Anolis sagrei: one gene and its partner. The protein of the gene in region 2 binds, or shares a complex with, the protein of the main gene of each other region. Links are inferred from orthologs where the notes say so. Each region holds a gene or a part of one and is shown on either strand. Other genes may lie near its edges.

The links. The genes of interacting proteins can lie anywhere in the genome.
Region 1: PRPF8 (region 2) and PRPF4 share a complex: the UniProt entries of both Homo sapiens proteins name them as parts of the U4/U6-U5 tri-snRNP complex. The link is inferred for Anolis sagrei from reciprocal best matches to the Homo sapiens genes PRPF8 and PRPF4.

Annotation. Positions count from the first base shown.
Region 1 is NC_090031.1:5,875,485-5,883,495, forward strand, and holds the start of PRPF4 (U4/U6 small nuclear ribonucleoprotein Prp4), read right to left. Parts: upstream 3,017-8,011; 5' UTR 2,959-3,016; coding exon 2,932-2,958; intron 1,619-2,931; coding exon 1,441-1,618; intron 1-1,440. Other genes in the region: anaphase-promoting complex subunit CDC26, read left to right, coding at 3,092-3,211, 4,942-5,118. UniProt on the Homo sapiens protein: Plays a role in pre-mRNA splicing as component of the U4/U6-U5 tri-snRNP complex that is involved in spliceosome assembly, and as component of the precatalytic spliceosome (spliceosome B complex).
Region 2 is NC_090031.1:35,466,538-35,473,616, reverse strand, and holds the start of PRPF8 (pre-mRNA-processing-splicing factor 8), read right to left. Parts: upstream 3,039-7,079; 5' UTR 2,901-3,038; intron 1,235-2,900; 5' UTR 1,220-1,234; coding exon 1,114-1,219; intron 131-1,113; coding exon 1-130. Other genes in the region: C1QBP (complement component 1 Q subcomponent-binding protein, mitochondrial), read left to right, coding at 3,627-3,927, 5,566-5,716, 5,833-5,917, 6,846-6,941. UniProt on the Homo sapiens protein: Plays a role in pre-mRNA splicing as core component of precatalytic, catalytic and postcatalytic spliceosomal complexes, both of the predominant U2-type spliceosome and the minor U12-type spliceosome.

The DNA.
Region 1 (8,011 bases), about 30 Mb from region 2:
CCCTTTCGCGGGTGACAAAAGCAACAACTCGGTAAATGACAGAACTGGGATGAACAAATTCTATCCAGACTAGAACTCAGGTCAGCAATCAAATTCCCTATCTCTGGACATATGGGAAGCCTGAATTGTATTGCACCCCTTTCTCTTAGACACCTTTCACAGCCGGATTTTATCAGCTAGCACGCCAATGCCTTTCTAAGATCTACAGAGATACTTGCAGGAACACCTCAGCAAGCTAGAGTCCAAAAGTGGCAGGCGAAAACCCAGAACCTCAAGCTATGGCTGATACCAAATGAAACTTTTAATCAATTTTTATTAAGTATACATCAAAATTAGAGTGACATAATATAGCATGAGAAATTTATAGATATATAGATATAAAGATAAGAACATGTAAAGTGGGAGAACAATTGGTATAAGAGAAAAGTAGGAAAAGAGAAAATACAAAAACAGAAAAAGAGAGAAAAAATATATTGAAAAAATGTTGACTTCCATTCTGTGCTTTTGCTATTGTTCTGCTTCAAAATAGTTAAAACTATCTTCCTGTTTACGTTATTACAATTTAGTACTATTCTATACGTTCATTTACTATCTCTTTCTGCCATGGGAGTGGAGAATCAGTTTGTTATATCAACATAAATCTATCTATATCTAATTCAAAAGAAAAAAAATATGACTATTATATTTATCCTCCTTGTCTCTTAGCTTTTTCATATTCTTCAAAAAGTGTCTAATCTGTCCTTTTTATTGGGGGGCCTGAGTTGACCTTAAAAAAAAAAGTTAACGTTTCCATATCTTTAACTTCCCTTAATTTGTCCATCCAGTCTTCAACGTCGGGGATCTTAGCAGTTTTCCACAATCTCGCAAGCACTTATTCTTTCTGCTGTGGCCATATAAGTAAAGAGAACATCTTTATACTTGTCTAAAATTAAGTCCGAGTCAGTGATACCTAGAAGATAGTATTCTGGTTTTTTAACAAATCTAATTTCTAAATTTTTTTGGGTTTCCTCGTGTATGAGCTTCCAATATTTTTGTACTTCTTCACAAGTCCACCACATGTGGAAGAAACTCCCCTCGTGATACCGAATGAGAGACTCCCCCCTGGGCACATAGAAGACTGGGCGACTTGGAAGGCACTGAACAGACTGCGCTCTGGCACCACGAGATGCAGAGCCAACCTTAAGAAATTGGGCCACAAAGTGGAAGCCATGACACATGAGTGCGGAAAAGAGCAAACCACAAACCACTGACTACAATGAAACCTGAGCCCTGCCACATGCACAATGGAGGACCTCCTCATAGCAGCACTCCAAGTAGCCAGCTACTGGTCAAAGGACATTTAATAGAATGCCAAGTTTTTAACACATTAAAACTGTATCCTCAATCGCTTCTGACATAATAAATAAATAAATAGGAAGCCTTGGACTGAGTGGTTCTTACCGCTGGTGACGTTGATGTTGCCGGCCTCAATCGCTGCTTTGACGGCATCTTTGCCCAGCATCCCAGACTCTCCCTTGAGGAGACGCTCGCGCTCCTTCTCCTCGAGGCTCCCATAAAAAATGGGGCCTTTCTTGGCTGGAGGACCATTGCCTTCGTCGGAGGCCTTTGTCTTTCCCAACTGCAAGGAGGATAAAGTGAGGATCACTGCCAATGCTAATCGGAGCTAATAATAATAACATCCCTCTTTATCTCTCTTACAATATACCCAAAGCAGCCATACTACAAATCCTATAATATATCCACTCAAACCTATAGGAGAATAAGGTGAGGTTCACTGACAATGCTTATTGGAGCAAACTGGAACAAATTATTATATAAAATTATTATATAATTATAGAGTTTTTTAATACTGGTAGCCAGATTTTGTTCATTTTCATGACAAATCACGAACCAAGGAACATAAAAGGCACTGCAGACTACTCCAACCAGAGAAGTCAGCCATAGCAGAGCACCTGATGAACCAACCTGGACACAGCATATTATTCGAGAACACAGAAATGCTGGACCACTCTCACAACCATCATGTCAGACTACACAGAGAAGCCACTGAAATCCACAAGAAGCATGTGGGCAATTTCAACAGAAATTGAACAAAACATGAAAATGAACAAAATCTGGCTACCAGTATTAAAAAACTCAAAAATTACAATAGCACAACAACAGAGGGGAAACAATCAAGGACATCTAATCACCTCTCAACAAAAGGTTGCCTCAGGCCATCAAATGCTAATCAAGGTGGTCAGTTGAAACATTCACACCTAGCTCCAACAGACAAGAGTCCTTTGTCCCACCCTGGTCATTCCACAGATATATAAACCCACTTTCCTAGTTCCAACAGATCTCATAACCTCTGAGGATGCTTGCCATAGATGCAGGCGAAACGTCAGGAGAGAATGCCTCCAGAACATGGCCATATAGCCTGAAAAAACCTACAACAACCCATTATATTGTATTATTATTGCCATTATATTGTATTACATGATCATATTATGATCAATATTATATGTACATACAATGTATTATGTACATATAATATGTATCATAATATCATCATGTAATACAATATAATACCAATAATAATACAATTGGCCAATCACATTATTAGCATAGCACAATATTGGTATCAAATGACTATATTGTGCTATACTACTATGCTGCGATTACATAATATTACATATAATACAGAATATACAATTACTATATTGTATTACTATATTGTCATGCAAATTCCACACCAATGGAGAGAGTCAGGAACACTGGGATGCCTGTGGTGGAGGAAACACATGAAATCTAGGATATTGTCCCTGGCTGAAAGCCTTCACTTGGGTGGTGGGCCGTATGTTGTCTTATTTACATGTTTTAATTGTTTATATCGGTCTTAAATGTGTTTTTCCCCGAAAATAATATAATGTCATGAGTTGTTTCCCTTACCGATAAGCTTCTCGAGGCAGCCATCATTACTAATGGCGACTTCCGGCGGATGCGGCTTCAAGGAGGGAGAGGCTCAGCCAATCACGTTCGATCACGGAGAGGCTCATCTGGCGACACGCATGCGCACACGGGATGTCTGGCTTGGTCGTAATCACTGCGCATGCGTGGACGAGCAACGGGTCCCCGTTTGGTCCTAAAGATGCTACGTCGGAAGCCAACGCGTTTGGAGCTCAAGCTGGACGATATTGAGGAGTTTGAGGGGGCCAGAAAGGAGCTGGAGGTGGGTAGTTGGAAGGAAAGGGCGTATAACCAGCTTAAGAGGGGTTTGTTGCCCCATTTGCTTTGAAATTCCCCTTTGGGGGCACTCTGTGCATGCTCAGAGGCACTTCTCCTTCAGTTCCTTCAACTAGAGCAGCTCCTCCTATAAAATATATGAGCCCATAGTTGAATCATATTTATTCACTACTAACTGTCCCCTGCCACACGTTGCTGTGGCCCAGTCTGGTGATCTGGAAAAATAAAGTAATGGTTTCTAATCTGTGTAATGTCTTTATGCTTGTGGGTAAACAGTATTTCTTGTTGTCTCTTTGTCAGTGTTGATGTGGAAAGTGTCTGGTTTGCCTACTCTGGAATATGCACTATATCATTGTCCTTCTTTAGGGGTCCCTTTCAAATCTATAATATTATATCTGTGTGTGTGTGAATCATATATATCAGTGTTTCTCAACCTGGGGGTTTTCATCAGAAAACATGGTATTTTCTGGTGGTCATGGGGATTCTGTGTGGGAAGTCTGGCCCAATTCTATTGTTGTTGGGGTTCAGAATGCTCTTTGATTGTAGGTGAACTATAAATCCCAGCAACTACAACTCCCAAATGTCAATGTCTGTTTCCCCAAAACTCCACTAGTGTTCACATTTTGGCATATTGAGGATTCGTGCCAAGTTTGATCCAGATCCATCATTGTTTGAGTCCACAGTGATCTCAGGATGTAGCTGAACTACAACCCCCCTTCAACTCCACCACTATTCAAATTTGTGTGTATTGGGTATTCGTGCCAAATTGGTCCAGCGAATAAAACTGTGTCCTGTATATCAGATATTTACATTATAATTCACAACAATAGCAAAATTACAGTTATGAAGTAGCAACAAAAATAATTTTATGATTGGGGGTCACCACAACATGAGGAACTGTGTTAAGGGGCCATGGCATTAGGAAGGTTGCGAAACTCTGATATATATCTATGTATATCTATGGCTGGATGGCTCTTTGTCAGGAGGGGTTTGATTAGATTTTCTTGCCCTGATGAAGAGAGTTGGATTGGATGGTCTTAAGTATTTTCTGTTGGTGATGGGGTTCAGCGTGGGAAATTTGCCCCAATTCTGTCATTTGTGGAGTTCAGAATGCTCTTTGATTGGAATATTTGTGCCATGTTTTGTCCAGATCCATCATTGTTTGAATCCACAGTGCTCTCTGGATGTAGATGAACTACAACTCCCAAACTCAAGGTCAATGCCCACCAAACCCTTCTAGTCTTTTCTGTTGGTCATGGGAGTCCTGTGTGTCACCTTTGGTTCAATTCCATCATTGGTGGAGTTCAGAATGCTCTTTGATTGTAGATGAACTATAAATCCCAGCAACTACAACTCCCAAATGACAAAATCAATTTTTTCGAATGAAGGACATTTATTTTTTTACTTCATGTATTTTGTTGTGATGTAATTTTTCTGTTATTTTGTGTCTAACTTTGTTGTATTATTTTTAGGCTTGGCCTCATGTTAGCTGCCCCGAGTCCCCTTTGGGGAGATGGTGGCAGGGTATAAACAAAGTGTTCTTACACACACACACATATATCATAAATAAATAAATAGCCTGGAGCCAAACCATGTTGGGCTTTAAAGGTCAAATGCAGCTTAAGAACAAACCTACAGAACCTAACTTGTTTGTAACTTGGCGACGGTGTAATTCCGTGTTTAATTTTTTGTCGTGTTTCCGTTTTGCCTTTTCAGAGTTGCAAGAAGCAGCGGGAAGAAGTGGATGTGGTGGGAGCCAGCGATGGCGAAGGCGCGCTGGGATTGAACATCGACCACAAGAGCCGAGAACAGATGATCCACGACCGGATCGGCTACAAGCCCCAGCCCAAACCCAACAATCGCTCCTCTCAGTTTGGCAACTTTGAGTTCTAGGGTCTTTCCTCTGCTGACTTCCATGACACTAGAGCAAAAAAGAGGATTACTTAAAGAAAACAGCCAAGGGGAATGGACTTTAGATAAACCGAAGACTGGACTCTTCTCCCAAAACCTGTGAGATCTTTGTTCCACTTATGGAATTTTTTAACTTTCCTCAATAAATGTATGTGTCTGCTTTTTTTATCCCTATAGAGTTTGCATTTTAGGAAGAGGTGAGATAATAAGACCCAATCGGTCACGTTTGAAGTCAGGATTTGAAAGCCCGTTGGCCAATAAGTACCACATAACTTTGGTCAGTCACCTAAATAGAAACATATATGTTTGTGTATATACATAAACATATATACCGTATATACTCAAGTATAAGCCGACCCGAATATAAGCCGAGGCACCTAATTTTACCGCAAAAAACCTGAGAAAACGGATTGACTCGAGTATAAGCCGAGGGTGGGAAATGCAGCCACTACGAGTAAATTGCAAAATAAAAATAGATACCAATTAAATTACATTAATTGAAGAACCAGTAAGTTATATATTTTTAAATATTTACAAAAATTGTAATTTTAGATAAGACTGTCCAACTCTGATTAAATGATTATTTACCTTCTTCAATGTAAATGTGCTTATGTATCCTTCCAATAATAATAGAGGAACATAATAAATGTGATAACAACAACAATAATAAAAAGAGTAAAATAATGAATGTAGCAATAACAACAATTATGCAGTAAAATAATAAATGTATAATAGAGTAAAATGATAAATGTAATAATAATAAATAGAATACAATAATAAATGAAATAATAATAATAACAGAGTAAAATAATAAATAACCTTGACTCGAGTATAAGCCAAGGGGGACTTTTTCAGCTTAAAAAAAGGGCTAAAAAACTAGGCTTATACTCGAGTATATACAGTACATTGTGTTGTCGAAGGCTTTCGTGGCCGGAATCACTAGTTCCAGAAGCATTCTCTCCTGACGTTTCACCAACATATATACAGTACATATACACACAGACACATACTTGTCATATATCTATCTTCCATATATTTTCCGATTAATTTAACAGTGGAGATGCATACTGGGATTGCCTAGTGGTGTAACAGAGAGCAGCTTTTACAAATCAAACACACAACATACCTGTAAGATACATTCTGCTTTATTAATTACATACAGACTGATAATCCGTACTTACATAATAGTATCAGGTGGGCAATTTCCACTATGGATTTAATAGATATGTACATCCAGCGAGGCACAATGCTAGAAACATAGAAAAGGCACCTTTTTCTTTCTTGAATACAGTGGGGGAAAGCACTGGCAACACAAATTGTATCAGCTAATATGAATGCGGCTCGATATAACTGGACGATAGAGGGGAGTTATGTTTCTGTATGCCTCCCTTTGCAAAACTGAAATGCCCTAAATGGCAACAATTGAACCTCGCAAACTTCTTTGCATACCCTTGACATGTGTTTGGGGGCCAGCGGCAATATGCAGTACCAGTTTGGAATAATAGTGCATCCCATAAGAGATGCGCCATAGCACCTTTGCGAACAATTCAGCAGCAAGGAAATCTGTTGCTGAGACAATCCCGCTGCTACTTGTATGCTTGGCAAGAAAGAAAAGGCAATGTTTACTTCCCTTTCACCAAAGGACTGTGAAAAAAGTCCTGTGTAAGAGCTGGGGAACACTCTGGGAGGAATTCGGTCTGTCCTCCATATTTGCAGATTTGATTTAAATGGTTTTGATTTCTCTCTTCAGGTAACCCTGAAGGATATGAACCAAGTCATAGCCCAGAACTTCTACCTTTGTAGTGTTTCCTCAAGGTTTCCACATCCAATGTTTATTTTTCTCACGGTTAGGGCTATAGAGGAGGGACTGTGTTTTCTTAAAGCTAATATTGGGTTGCAGTGAGTTTTATGGGCTGTATGGCCATGTTCCAGAAGCATTCTCTCCTGACGTTTCACCCACATCTATGGCAAGCATCCTCAGAGGTTGTGAGGTCTGTTGGAAATTAGGAAAATGGGGTTTATATATCTCTGGAATGTCCAGGGTGGGACAAAGAACTCATGTCTGTTGGAGGTGGGTGTGTTTCAATTAGCCACCTTGATTAGCATTTAATGGCCCAGCAGTTTCAAGGTGTGGCTTGGATCTGGGCCAAACTTAGCACAAATCCTCAATATGCCCAAATGTGAACACTGGTAGTTTGGAGGAAATAGACCTTCACATTTGGGAGTTGTTGTTGCTGGGATTTATAGTTCACCCACAATTAAAGAGATTCTGAATGCCACCAGTGATAGAATTGGGTCAAACTTCCCACACAGAAGCCCCACAACCAACAGAAAACTATGTGACACCCCCTCACGTCCCCCCAAGGGGTCCCAACCCCCAGGTTGCAAAACACTGCACTTATCGAAAGCATCCTCGTGTCCTGAAACAGCAGGTTGAGTTGCATATTGAGTAGCAATCTTTGCCTGCACGGTCCAAATAATGTGAGAGACAGCTCACAGCTTCAGGTCATTCATCCCATTCTTATCTGAGGTAGTTCTAGACTAAGGGCAATTTGGATCGTTTTAGAACTAATTGTCAACTTTCGAGTCACACTGAAGCCAGCGTTTGTTCCATCCATTTATTTAAAAGATGCTTGATACGTTTAAAAAAATGATTTGCATACATTTTACACATTCACAATTAAGTGGCGATGGACAATTCGCATCAAGTGCCATTATTGTCGGATTGTCTGCGGCCATTTATTAATTTGGGCAGAAGACAAAAACAGATACGGTTTAGAAAGAACGAGGAAGTCAAAGCGGAGAAACCAAGCGGCCTAAAAACCTCAGAACCAATGGCATTAACTTGCTCATTGTTTACATCTTTGGGTTTCTC
Region 2 (7,079 bases):
GTCATATCTCCATGGTCACGGATGATTTTCCTCACATGCTCCGGAGGCATGTCCTCCTTCTGCGCATCCACAAAGCCAAACTTCCGCTTCTCAGCGTAGCGCTTGGCCTGCAGCTGCTGCCATTTGCGGGCTGCGAAAGCCAGAACACACTCACAATAGAGGCAGAGCTTTCCCCAAAAGAGCCAAAGCACCCCCCGCCCAAAGGGAATGATACTGCCAGGATCCTATAATTAAGGCCTGTCGTATATTAGGGATTTACTCATTATTTTTATTATACTCTGCTTTTTTTCTCTATGAATAAGAGACTCAGAGGGGCTTAGAGTTGCCCTTGGGCTGAGAATTGCGGTATATAAGCACAGTAAATAAATAAATAAAACAAATAAATAGAGTGAAGCCAATAATAATAATAATAATAATAATAATACTTTATACCCCGCTCCATCTCTCCCAGGGGGACTCAGTGCGGCTTACATGAGGCCTTGTCCAAAAATACAGTATCATAATATAACACAAAAGCATAACAAAACCAGAAATAAAATACATCAAATGCAAAAGCAATATAATAAATGAAGAACAAAAGCAAATCAAACATTAAAACACAGAGGATTAGGCTGGGCAAGGCCGAACTCAATGATAAATTTGTTAAACGCTGGGAGATAGGACAATATAAATTATTAGAAGGAGGATCCGGGGACAGGGAAGGATTTAATTGCACGAACCATAAAATAAAGTGCTTCTGAGGTCATTTTATGCAAAGTTTGGTCAGGGAGTATCTTACATTTAGGCCAATACAATTTAAGGCCTAAAATACACAAACATTAAAATAGAATTCAATATTAATGGTATATAAATAAACTATTATTATTACTTAGATCTTGCTATATTTCTCTAAAAAAATACTCAAAGCAGCTTATTGTAAAACCAATGCATACAATTGAAATCCACCTAAAAATATGCCAATATTAAAATATAATTAAATGTCAATGGTATTATAATAAGCAGTAAAAACTCTTAAATCTGATTAAATAACATAGACCTATGACGGAATAATTTGACAGATCAGCCTGGCTATGTCAACTAACAAGGCGATATAAGAGCGTGAACATATCGTACCTTTCTCCTGGAGCTTCTCCTCGGACATGTAGTCTGGCAGCGGAGCCATAGGGGCCGGCATCGGAGGGCAGGGCCCCCGGAAGGGAGGGAACACGCCAGTTGCCATGGCCGCAGGTCAGGCCTAAGGGAAGGGAAACAAACATGTTATTAATATATACTATTAGTATAATACATTACTATGGTATATTATTATATTGTACTATACCACTATAATGTCATATAACATGTATTATATAATATGCACCTGCCTATCTATAATATACTAGCCCTCCCTTGCCACACATTGCTGTGGTCTAGCCTGTGTATATATGTTTTGTGTTTGTGTGTATGTGTGTGCGTATATATTTGTGTGTATATGTGTATTTGTGTGTATATGTGGTTTTGCACATGCTTTGTAATGTATTTTTTTTTTGTTTTTCGGCTTTTTAAGTCTCTTCTGTTGTGTTTTCCAGTGTTTGTCAGTGTTTTCCAGTGATGGTCACTCGTTGGCCTGAGAGGGGTCTTGTGTCCAAATTTGGTGTCAATTTGTCCAGTGGTTTTTGAGTTATGCCAATCCCACAATAAATCATTACATTTTTATTTATATAACTAGCCGTTCCCTGCCACGAGTTGCTGTGGCCCACTCTGGTGGTCATGGGGGTTCTATGGCCCAATTCGTTGGTGGGGTTCAGAATGCTCTCTACAAATCCCAGCAACTACAACTCCCAAATGTCAAGTTTCTATTTTCCCCAAACTCCACCAATGTTCACATTTGGGCATACTGAGTATTCATGGCAAGTTTGGTCCAGATCCATCCTTGTTTGAGTCCACAGTGATCTCTGGATGTAGGTGAACTACAACTCTAAAACCAAAGGCCAATGCCCACCAAACCCTTCCAGTATTTTCTGTTGGTCATGAGAGAACTATGTGCCAAGTTTGGTTCAATTCCATCGTTGGTGGGGTTCAGAATGCTCTTTGATTGGAGGTGAACTATAAATCCCAGCAACAACAACTCCCAAATGACAAAATCTTTTTTTTTAGTGAAGGACATACATTGGGCTGTTAGGTGTCTTGTGTCCAAATTTGGTGTCAATTTGTCCAGTGGTTTTTGAGTTATGTTAATCCCACAAACGAACATTACATTTTTATTTATATAATTATACAATATAACAATACACAATAATGCACCATAATGATAATATATTAAACATAATATTATTGTTAATATATAATACACACACAACTATATATATATTACCGTTTTATTATTGAATATCTGAAGTTGTAATATTTTTATTGTGAGCTGCTTTGAGTATCAATATGGAGATAAAGTGGGATACAAATATAAATAAATAATGGGGAGGGGCAGTTAAATAAAATTCTTATCATTAATTATTATTAATATTAATTAATATTATTAATAAGACATGAGTCCTTGGCCTAGACTGGAAATTGAAGTCTTCTGCACACACTCTGTGTGTCTTTACTAATTACTCCTGTGTTAATTTATTGTAATTAATTAATTAATAATAAGCACAGGAGTAATTAGTGAAGTGTGTGCAGAAGACTTCAATTTCCAGCCTAGGCCAAGGAGCAAGGCCTTGGCCAATCAGACGCGGGCAGGAGGAAGAGTAGCCAATCAGCAAACAGTATGCAAATGCGCCAAGCGTGGGCCTAGTCCTGCTTCGGGCGCCTCCTTGGCGTAAACCAGAAACCCATTCTCGCTCCTTCTTTTCTAAAGTATCTCATTATGCATATGCAAATAAGCCCAATTATAGCGGGGAATAAAATTCGGGATGACTACTGACCTTCCGGCCTGGTATCTTCCCTTCTCTCCTCCCCTCCTTCCTTCCTTCTTCTCTCTTTTCCTCTCAGGCGAAGGACTCGTAATGGCGGCCGCCTTCGCCGCCTCTGCGTGAGAATCTCACACTGCGCAGGCGCCACTCTCCGGAAACGGATGAGGCGTGGAAAGGATTTCGCAGCCGGCCAATCGACGAGCGCTGAGAGTGAGGGGGCGGGGAAGGGAGAAGGTATCCGCCCCTTTTTTCTCTCAAACGCATGCGCAGTGAGGGCGGGAAGGCAACGCGCCGGAAAGGGAAAGGGACGGGAACCTTTGATGCGCGTGCGCACTAGCGAGGGAGCTCTCTTTTTTCTCTTTCTCCGGCGCGTGCGTAGTGAGAGTGTGAAGGCACCTTTGATGCGCATGCGCACTAGCGGGGGAGCTCGCTTGTCTCTTTCCGGCGCGTGCGCAGTGAGGGCGGGAAGGCAACACGCTTCAAAGGGAAAGGGGCGGGCTCCTTTGATGCGCATGCGCAGTAGCGAGGGAGCTCCCTTTTATCTCTCCAGCGCGTGCGCAGTGAGGGCGGCAAGGCAACGCGCCGCAAAGAGAAAGGGGCGGGCACATTTTTTGCGCATGCGCACTAGCGGGGAGTTCTCTTCTATCTCTTCGGCGCGTGCGCAGTGAGGGCGGGAAGGCAACACGCCGGGAATGAGAAAGGGGCGGGAACCTTTGATGCGCGTGCGCACTAGCGGGGATGTGCTTTTCCCCGCCCTTTCCGGCTTTCTGCTGCTGCTGCTTCCACTTCCGGTGCGCGTTCCTTTCCCCTCAGACGGCCATGCTGCTCGCTCGGGTCCTCCGCTCTTCGGCTTCCGCGGCGCTTCGGCCTTTCCAGGCGCGGACGGGCGCCTCCAGCCTGGCTCCGCGGCTGCTCCCCGCCGCCCGGCCCTTCACCCGCTCGCTGTGGCAGCTCCAGGAGCGCAGGCCTCGCGGGGGAGGGGGAGGCCTCAGGAGCCTGCCCTCCGCCCCCTGCGCATGCGCGGGCCTCCACACTGAAGGTGAGCCTCCTCCTCCTCCTCCATTCACCTCCTGGCCACGCGCCTGGCATCGTCCCCTGGACAACCTCCTTGCAGACGGCCCATTCTCTCACGCCAGAAGCGACTTGCAGTTTCTTAAGTCGCTCCTGACACCACAAGTAATAATAATAATAATAATAACAAAATAAAAATATTCTCTGAAAATAGGGTTTTGAATGCGTTCTCTCTGGGAATAGGATCTCTGTGCCTAGGAAGAGAATAATAATAATAATAATATATTATATATAATTTTATAATATTATATTATATATTATAATAATGTTAGAATTATATATATATATATATATATATATATATATAATAATCGTATAATAATGTAATTATGGGAGCTTTGGTGTGGGCTGGTTGTTGTTGTCATGCTTTCAAGTCATTTCAGACTTAGGTTGACCCTGAGCGAGGGCTGGGGAAATGACCTTGGAGGGCCGCATCCGGCCCTCAAGTCTTAGTTTGAGGATCCCTGGCTTAGACAGATAAACACATACATAGGATAGATACAGATATACTTACATAGTTGCATAGCTACAAAGAGACAGCTAGATTAGATAAACAGATGCATAGATCAGATACAGACATGCATACATAGTTGCATAGAGGGATAAATACAGATAGATCAGATAGGCAGATGCATAGATTAGATGCATAGTTGCATAGATAATAGCTACAGATAGATTAGATATATTGATAGTAATATATAATACTGATATTGTACTATACTAATAATATATTATATTGTATGTATATATTTTGTAAGCCGCTTTGAGTCCCCTGAGTAAGGGGAGAAGGGCGGGCGGCATATCCATGTCGCAAATAAATAATAAATACATAGATAGGTCCATAGATTAGGTCAGTGTTTCTCAACCTGGGGGTTGGGACCCCTGTGGGGGTCATGAGGGGGTGTCAGAGAGGTCACCAAAGACCATCAGAAAATACAGTATTTTCTGTTGGTCTTGGGGATTCTGTTTGGGAAGTCTGGCCCAATTCTATCGTTGGTGAGGTTCAGAATGCTCTCTGATTGTAGGTGAACTACAAATCCCAGCAACTACAACTCCCAAATGTCGAGGTCTATTTTCCCCCAATTCCACCAGTGTTCACATCTGAGCATATTGAGTATCCGTGCCAAGTATGGTTCAGATTCATCATTGGTTGAGTCCGTAGTTCTGTCTGGATGCAGGTGAACTACAACTCTAACATTCAAGGCCAATGCCCACCAAACCTTTCTAGTATTTTCTGTTGGTCATGGGAGTTCTGTGTGCCAAATTTGGTTCAGTTCCATTGTTGGTGGAATTCAGAATGCTCTGATTGTAGCTGAACTATAAATCCCAGCAACTACAACTCCCAAATGACAAAATCAACCCCCCCCCCCAACCCCACCAGTATTCAAATTTGGGTGTATTGGGTATTTGTGCCACATCCTACCTATCTGATACTTACACAACGATTCATAACAGAAGCAAAATGACAGTTCTGAAGTAGCAACAAAAACAATGTTATGGTTGGGGGTCAACATAACATGAGGAACTGTATTAAGGGGTCGTGGCATCAGGAGGGTTGAGAAACACTGGATTAGGTGGATAGCTCTCACCTGTGTGTTCTTGGCAGGCGACAAAGCTTTTGCGGAGTTCCTGGTGGACGAAATCAAGGAGGAGAAGAAGATCCAGAAGCACAAGTCATTGCCCAAAATGTCCGGCGGCTGGGAGCTGGACGTCCAAGGCACCGAGGCCAAGCTGGCGCGGAAAGTGGCCGGCGAGACGTAAGGGGCGCCTCCTCCTCCTCCTGGGTGGGGTCAGGTGGGGGTCTCCCACCCCTCTTGTTATATCTCTCTGGAGTTTGCTCACCTTGGGCTCCTCCTCCTGGTTCCGTCCACAGGGTCACGGTGTCCTTCAACATCAACAACAGCATCCCGCCGAGTTTTGACGAGGCTCCAGAAGGACAGAAGCCGGACGAGCAAGAAGTAAGTGGGGGTCCTTTTATTATAGACTAGCTTGGGTCCCTGGCATTGCCCGGGCTATTAGAAGAAGCCACTTTTTAATTGTCCCAAATGCCTAAGATTCTAGATGAACTACAACTCCCATCATGCCAGGGGAACTCCCTGAAAACCCATCAATATTTAGTTTGTCATGTTAGGCAAATTTGCTTTAGATGCATCCTCAGTGGGGTTCAGTGTGCTCTCTGGCTGCAGGGTGAACTACAACTCCCACTGTGGTCAGTCCTGTCAAATCCTTCCTTGGTCATGGAGGTTATGTGTGCCAAGTTAGACGCAGTTCCATCAATGGTGGGGTGCGGAGTGCACTTTGATCACAATTGAACTATAAATCCCAGTACGTACAACTAACCGATGTCAAGGCCAATCCCTCCCCCCCCCCCCCCAACTCACCAGTATTCAAATTTTGGCATATGGGGTATGCGTGCTGAATTTGGTGCAGATCCATTACTGTGTTGACATTGCTCTCTGGATGTAGGTGAACTATAAATCCTAAAAATCAAGATGAATCCCCCCAAGTCCCTCCTACATTCTTTTGTTGGTCATGGGGGTTTTGTGCGCCAAGTTAGGCCCAGGTCCATCATTGTGGGGTCCAGAGTTCCCTTTGATTGCGGGTGAACTATAAATCCCAGTACCTACAAGGACTGTGAATCAAGGTGAATTCCCCCCAAACCTTTCCAGTATTGCCAGCAGCTTACAGAATGGCAGTGGAATCCTAGAGTTGGGAGAGGCCCCCAAAGGGCATCTAGTCCAACCCCTTTCAGCCAGGTGGGAAGATGCAACCCAAACCCTCCCGACAGAGGGCCATGCGTACTCTGTTCACGAAGACTCCACCAGTTCTCCCAAAGGGAAGGCAGTGATCAAGATGGCTAAACAGAGGTCTGTTTTTTTCCTGCAGCCGGATCTCACGTCGACCCCGAACTTTGTTGTGGAAGTCACCAAAGATGACACCAAGCAGACCCTGGTGCTGGACTGCCACTACCCTGAGGACGAGGTGAGTGGAGGCCCGTGTGGGCCGTTCCCAAGTTGCAAACATCCGACTGACAAACGACTCACAGTTAAGAACAGGGCTGAAGCAACTGGGAATGAGGGGAATCCACCCCCCCCCCCTCGGAAGGGAAATCCACTCCTG